Kluyveromyces lactis: one gene and its partner. The protein of the gene in region 1 interacts with the protein of each later gene in a pairwise test. Links are inferred from orthologs where the notes say so. Each region holds a gene or a part of one and is shown in the gene's direction. Other genes may lie near its edges.

Region 1 (4,381 bases):
TTTGTTGGTATCAATTTGTTTGCTGGCAATGGAAAAAACGATGGAACTTTCAGAGGCAGACGGTATTTTGAGACTTCTTTCCCTCAAAGTGGACTTTTTATCCAATGGGAAAAGATCGCCAACTTGATCCCAATACCTTCTAACCCTGAGGCAAATATGACCATACCACCTGCATCACCTACTCCCGTAAGGATTAACGCAAATTTTTTAGGGTATCATGAACCTCTTCAAAACAGTTTTCCTGAAATCAAGTCGCGAACTAGTATTTCAAATGTCATTCAACCGAATGACGATCCGATGCAAACTACTTCCTCGGACTTAAAAATGTTACAAACAGAGCTAGTTCAATACAAAAGACTAGTAGAGGATCAACGAATTGTATTCGAGGAGATCCAAGCTGCAATTGATGAATATGAGACTAAGTTGGATACCACAGAAAAGGAGAAAGTTCTACTTCAAAACCAACTCGACCATGAAAGAACGTCCCATCAGCGCCAAAAGCAGTTTTATGAAAGTGAACATGATCAGCTTTTGACTGTGATAGACGAGCTCCAATCTGAGATAAACCGGAATGCTGCCATATTAGCCGAGATTATGCAGAAGGAAAAGAAAAATTCCCTTGAAAATGATTATGTTATGCAAGATGAACCGAACAGTGATGCCCTTTTAATTAACGATTTAAGGGAACAGATACTAGAACTACAGCAACACAAGACTCAAGCTGAATTGCATAGGGTCCAATGGGAGAAAGAGAAGGAGCAACTGCAATTCCGTAACCAGTCGTTATCAAAAGAATATAAAAATTTGACTACTGAGATGACAGAGTATCAACAGAAATCCCATGATACAGAGACAAAAGAGTATACTCTCAACAAGGAATTAGACGATGCAAGGAAAAAAATTGGGGAGCTCGAATCCCGAGTCGAAGAATTATCCAAAAAACAGGAAGAAAATACACTTATTGTGGACAGTAACATTGAAACCTTGCCGTTATACAATCCAGGTGCCGAAGTAAAGTCAACTTTAGTGAATGCAGCTGCAGGGCGCTCGTTGTGGTGTGCTCTTTGCGAAAAAGACGGTCATGAATCAGTAGATTGCCCATACGACGACAAATTCTTTTAGAGTCAAAATTCGTCCCTTTTAATATCCATTGTTGTACTTGCATCATATATATAGCATACTTAGCGCATCATCATATAATGAATCATCTTATAATGAATTACCTACAGTCCATCAATCGCATCCGGACTTCTTCTTCGAGTTTTCATTGGCTTTCCTGTGTTTTTTTCATCATATGACTCATGTAATTCAGTGCATATGCGTTCAATCATATTTTCACAATCCACTGCAAAAATCAAGCCTCCTGGTATATAAAAATGAAAATATGAAATATGAAAAAAAAATAAGTTAGTCGTCATGCTTTATCAAATTTCGTTACATTCAGGACTGTCCACCTAAGACAAGAAGTCATAAAGCACCAGAAATGTTGCCTGTTGTACCTGTGTTCAATGCTGTCAATGCGTTGAAAGAAAAGACTTACCTTTACTTATCCAGTCAATTAGTACTTGATGGGAAGGATATGACTAAAGATGATATTTTGGAATTTGTTCAGAATAGTCATGGTCAAAATATTTCTGTTCTATTGAAAGACGCAAAATTTGAGGATGATGATCTGATTGTTCTATTGAATAATGGCGTTGTAACCTTGTTTATTGATTCTGATGATTATGCTGCTCATTTAGTTGAAATTGGGGTACCAAGCATCAGATTGACCTTATTAAAAGATGGTGCATACCAGTTCAGCTTTGGTCAAATACAAGAGATCCAACAATCTCAATTGGTTAAAGCATCTGAAATTTCTTTGGAAACATTCACTAATTCTGTCCTTTCTGGCATGAAAACTGATCGTCCAGATGGTTTATATACTACCTTAGTCGTTGATGAAAATGAACGTTCTCTAGGTTTGGTATATTCTAATAAAGAGTCCGTTTCTTTGGCCATCGAAACACAAACTGGGATCTACTTTTCCCGTTCACGTAACGAAATTTGGCGTAAAGGTGCCACTTCTGGGAATGTTCAAAAATTATTATCTATTGAGTTGGATTGCGATGGTGATGCACTAAAGTTTGTGGTCAGACAAGGTGGTTCAGGGTCCTTCTGTCACTTGGAAACCGAATCTTGCTTCGGTAACTTCAGACATGGGTTATACGGTCTACAGAAGCTTTTACAGGAAAGACTCCTTAATGCCCCAGAAGGATCATACACCAAAAGACTATTCAATGATTCGGACCTTTTAACTGCCAAGATCAAAGAAGAAGCAGAAGAACTTACCGAAGCTGTTGATAAAAAAGATATAGCTTGGGAATGTGCTGATTTATTTTACTTTGCTATGGCTAGGCTAGTTGCCAATGGCGTATCATTAGAGGATGTTGAGCGTAACCTAAATACCAAACACTTGAAAATCACAAGAAGAAAAGGTGACGCCAAACCTAAGTTTCTCAAGAAGGAACCAGTTGCTGTCCATGAAGAAGATGGAAAAATTGTTCTTAACGTTGTTTCCGCTAGTGACAAAGCTGCCGTCGAAAAGGCAGTCACAAGACCAATTCAGAAAACAGCTGAAATTATGAACCTGGTTAACCCAATCATTGAAAACGTTATTAAGAACGGTGACAAAGCGCTAGTTGAATTGACAGCTAAGTTCGATGGTGTCCAATTAGAAACACCAGTTTTGGAGGCACCTTATCCAGAAGAATACCTTGATGGATTGACTGATGAACTAAGAGATGCTTTGGACCTGTCTATTGAAAATGTAAAAAAGTTCCACGCTGCTCAAATGCAAAGTGAAACCCTAGATGTCGAAACTCAACCAGGTGTTGTCTGCTCTAGGTTCCCTAGACCTATCGAAAAGGTTGGTCTATACATTCCGGGTGGTACAGCAATCTTACCAAGTACTGCGCTTATGTTAGGTGTACCGGCCCAGGTTGCTGGATGTAAAGAAATTGTTTTCGCATCACCTCCAAGAAAGTCTGACGGTAGAGTTTCTCCTGAAGTTGTTTATGTTGCAAGTAAAGTCGGTGCTTCAAAGATCGTATTAGCAGGTGGTGCACAAGCTATTGCTGCAATGGCCTACGGTACTGAATCCGTTCCTAAAGTGGACAAAATCTTAGGCCCTGGTAACCAGTTTGTTACCGCAGCAAAAATGTATGTTCAAAACGACACTCAAGCTTTATGTTCTATCGATATGCCAGCTGGTCCAAGTGAAGTCTTGGTCATTTGTGATGAAGAAGCTGATGTTGACTTTGTTGCATCGGATTTGCTATCACAGGCTGAGCATGGTATTGACTCTCAAGTTATTTTGGTAGGTGTCTCGTTATCTGACTCGAAGATTGAAGCTTTACAAAATGCTGTTCACGAACAAGCTATGCAGCTACCTAGAGTTGATATTGTTCGTAAATGTATCGCCCACAGCTCAATCATTCTATGTGATTCTTACGAAGAAGCCTTCAAGATGTCGAACCAATATGCTCCTGAACATTTGATTCTACAAATTTCAAATGCCGAAGACTATGTCAAAGATGTGGATCACGCCGGTTCCATTTTTGTTGGTGCTTATACTCCAGAATCATGTGGTGATTACTCTAGTGGTACGAATCATACATTACCTACCTATGGTTATGCTAGGCAGTACAGTGGTGTGAACACAGCCACTTTCCAGAAGTTTATCACTTCTCAAGTGGTCACCCCAGTCGGTTTAGAACATATTGGTCATGCTGTGATGAGTGTTGCTAAAGTCGAAGGCTTGGATGCTCACAGAAACGCAGTCAAGATCAGGATGTCAAAGTTGGGCTTACTACCATCAGGTTTTGAATAATATAGAACTAACTTATTAAGATTTGAATTTAATATCTAAAAGAAAAATAATGCTATGTTTGTATAGAAATGAATAAACTTTAACCATTCGAATTGTTTAGAAGCTTACTCCAGAAGCACGCGTTGAATGCATGAAACTTCCCCAGAGATTTGCATATTCAAAGTATCAAAATATTACTTCACGTGACTTCTAAATACAAAAACAATGGAAATCTTAATGAAAATGCTTGATACCGCATATCATCATCGCTAGAGTTGAATAAATTGATGATATAGAGCTGTGACTCCGCGTAACGTACCAGCAACCCATTAAACATGCAGGTTAACCATCTATTAAGGCAAGCTGTCAAACAGACCACTAGAGCGGGACGGCTAGGTTCGAGGAAACCTCACAAACCGCTCTTGCCTCCGTTACAATTGTACCGTAGAATCCTCAGAGAACACAGAAACTTACCAACGATGCAGAGAGAGTTGGGAGATCAATATGTCAAGAATGAATTCAAGTTGCATA
Region 2 (3,287 bases), on another chromosome or scaffold:
AATGCGAATTGGAAATGCGAATGGGAAACGGGGAAAGGAGCTGTAGCGGAAGGATGAGCTCCAGTGTCCTTCTGCCACTATCTAGCCATCCTTGATCGTTTTGCTGAATTGAGGTTTTCCTGGTGAGAGACCCAATTCGTTAAAAACAGCTTTTCTCTTTTCTTCTTCCATAGGCTTAAGTCCAGGCTAAACGATTTCCCCTTTCTTCCCTTTCTATTGCCATTACAACGGCTGTAAAGAAACGATATAATGTAAACCGGAATGAAGTTGAAACAAGTTTATGTACTGAATTTAAACTCTAAACTCCTCCCGTCTCCATATTTCGTTTATCGGTACGTAGATAATTAAGTTCTTTGCAGATAAACCTGGGCTCATGTATCTAGTGGAAAATTTATCACCAGGACAGTGCTCGAAATTTGCTAGTTAGATAAGTAGGAGGAGGCATGGTTGTTTGGCCTGTCGTTTGGGCTACGGCTTGGACTTGGTCTTAGTGATATTTCCACCCTTCTACTTGTTCTTTTCTTCACCGCTGACTCACACTCCATCTGGTAGAAGTACTGAGATGGTGCGTAGACTTATGTTTTTTAATTGCATTCTTGAAGGTGTGAAAATTTGCACGAATTGGTGCTTATGAAAATGTGATCCAGCTCATTATATCATCATTCAAGAGCAATATATGTGTATGATTTGGTAGTGTTCGAGACCCGAACCCCTGTACTACGATGCCAGAAAAAACGTAGCACATACTTAGGTGAACATAAATTATTATACATCGTGTTCAGTTGATAAGCAGTTTCTACATTTACTGGAATCAACGTCAAATGCTGTCTAGGACATAATTCAGCAATCAGAATTCGTCCAATATGGTGTCTTATCTTAAGCACAGACTAGCTTATACGGCTGTTTTTTAGATAGTACGGAAGTAGGGAGAAGAGGGTTTGGTGCCTGGTGCTTCCCTTCACTTCCTTTGTTTTGTTATAGTGTTTGAAGTCTCTCCCGTGTGTATGTCTTTGAATTCGGTTCAATTAAACGGTTCCTGCATGTCAATTACTGTAGATGGGGGTTTTCCCTGGCTTTGAGGTTTTGCCATATTATATATATATATATATATATGTGTCGAGGAAGTCAGATTGGGTAACAATGTTATCCTGGTGCAAATAGTCGTATACGCAAGGCTTATGTTCGCTCTTTTTGTTGCCAGATCACCTGACGTATCTTAGTATAAGAGTATTATAAGGTGTCACCTGCTCCACTACCCATTAGAGACGTTTTCATACCGAGCATTCATTCCCACGAAGTCGATATGCATAAGTATCAGCCGATAGATGTGATTCAAACTGGTTCTTTTAGCACGGTATACCGTGCTTACGATTCCAAGACTGGTAGTTATGTTGCCATGAAAGTTGTTTCTAAGCCAGCTGATCCAGTTAAACTAGAAGCAATTAGTAAATTGGTAAGGAATGAGTACAGAGTGCTCAAGAAATTGGGCAATAGACATCCTAATATCTGCGCTATGCTTGATTTCTATCAGGATCATGAAAAATTCGTATTCGTGTTAGAATACTGCCATAATGGTGATTTATATGACTATATGAAGCGAATTAAGGAATCAGGAGGTACTGATAAAAATTCAAAAAATGCTCGAAATAGCAAATCTTCATCTAAAAGCCCACCCAAATTACATTTTCACTCGCTGATGTTTCAACTTTGCTCAGCGTTGAAATACTGTCATACATTAGGTATCGCCCATAGAGACTTCAAACCTGAGAATATTTTGGTCACCAACACGGGAAAAATCAAATTAACTGATTTTGGACTATCGTACTTTGGCGAAGTCGCCTCGGATCACGGTATCGGAACGGAAAAATACTTGGCTCCTGAGACTTTCTCACATAATGATACTTATAACACTTACAGTGCGGATTTATGGTCTCTAGGTATTTCAGTACTGTATATCGTTTTCGGTTCTTGTCCGTTCAAATCTGCCAACATCGATTCTCCTACCAAGAATACCAACTTCATTGTCTTCAATGATAATCCTGTGAAATTTGTTAAACAGTATTACCTACCGAATCTCTTAGAGGGCTCTAATCGTTCCAATAATTGCTCGGAGTCAAGCAGGCATGCCATTGTAGGCAGCCAGGATTATTGGCTTGAATTGGTACCTAATCTATCTCATCCAGAACATCTTCTGCTACTTATTTCTCGTTTGGTGATAGCTCATCTTCTTTGTCCACCAACTCACCGTAATATTGATACGTTTTATGCTAACATAGATTATTTCACCAACGATGTTCAGATGATCAAATGCTGCCCGGAAATCACCCCTCCACTCTCTTCATCATCATCATCTTCATCGGCATCATTATCGGCACAAAAATATAACCAAAAGCAATGTGCAACGTACCCTCCATCACCAGCATCATTAAAATCTACATCTTTCTCATTTTTAAATTTTGAACCTGCAGCTGAGAGTATTTCATTTGAGGACTGGATCCCAAGAGATAACTCCAGAAATTCGTGGACCTATGACTGGGATGCAAACACTACTTGGCCAATTGACAGTGAATCATTTGCCGTATTATCAAGTAACAGTGTGTAACAACTAACCATTCAATTCACTTCGTGTCCAAACAACGAACTTTAAATAGTAGACATCTAATATTCATACCAGGTTCAACACTATTTTCTAGCTTTGCCTTCCAGTAAGGTTTCGTTAATTGCCCTAGTGATATAATCATAATAAAAAACCCATCTAAATTAACATACTTCCATACACGTAAATATATATGTCTCAAGTTGGAAATAAAGAAAAGGCAACGTGTATATACAAGAGTGCACTTGTGGAATCGATAACCATAGAGATCATGGTCCTGACCATGTCTTGAAGTAGGCGATTGCACCATTTTGAACCTTTGAACTAAAATCTATCTTTTTATCTTTTTCGATTATTTCGACATCATCTATTAGATGACTCGTAATCTTATCACAGTTCTCATTCAAACCAAAGATAAAGATCCCTGAAATTTTCGTCTCTGACTCAGCTTTCTTGATACTCCCTAGATTATCTGCAGCCAAGGGATGGGTTTCCCATCTCATAATTACTTCATGCTTCTCAACGTCAAGGCTTTTAATACGTACCCTGTTTTCAACTGAGAATGCAAAAGTGTTCAATAAGAACCGTATGCTATTCCAGACAGCATAATACTTCGTTATTCCGGAGAAGCTTGGCAAGTACGGATGGGTAATAGGCATAATCTTCAACTCTATGTCTTTGCTTAGTCTCG

What was found.
Region 2: the proteins of HIS4 (region 1) and FMP48 interact in binary tests that used the Saccharomyces cerevisiae proteins (3 or more experiments, as listed by UniProt). The link is inferred for Kluyveromyces lactis from reciprocal best matches to the Saccharomyces cerevisiae genes HIS4 and FMP48.

The regions. Positions count from the first base shown.
Region 1 is NC_006039.1:108,286-112,666, reverse strand, and holds HIS4 (trifunctional histidinol dehydrogenase/phosphoribosyl-AMP cyclohydrolase/phosphoribosyl-ATP diphosphatase), read left to right. Parts: upstream 1-1,483; coding exon 1,484-3,871; downstream 3,872-4,381. Other genes in the region: BIK1 (Bik1p), read left to right, coding at 1-1,122; SDH7 (Sdh7p), read left to right, coding at 4,186-4,381.
Region 2 is NC_006037.1:243,779-247,065, forward strand, and holds FMP48 (protein kinase FMP48), read left to right. Parts: upstream 1-1,303; coding exon 1,304-2,602; downstream 2,603-3,287. Other genes in the region: MCO32 (Mco32p), read right to left, coding at 2,866-3,287.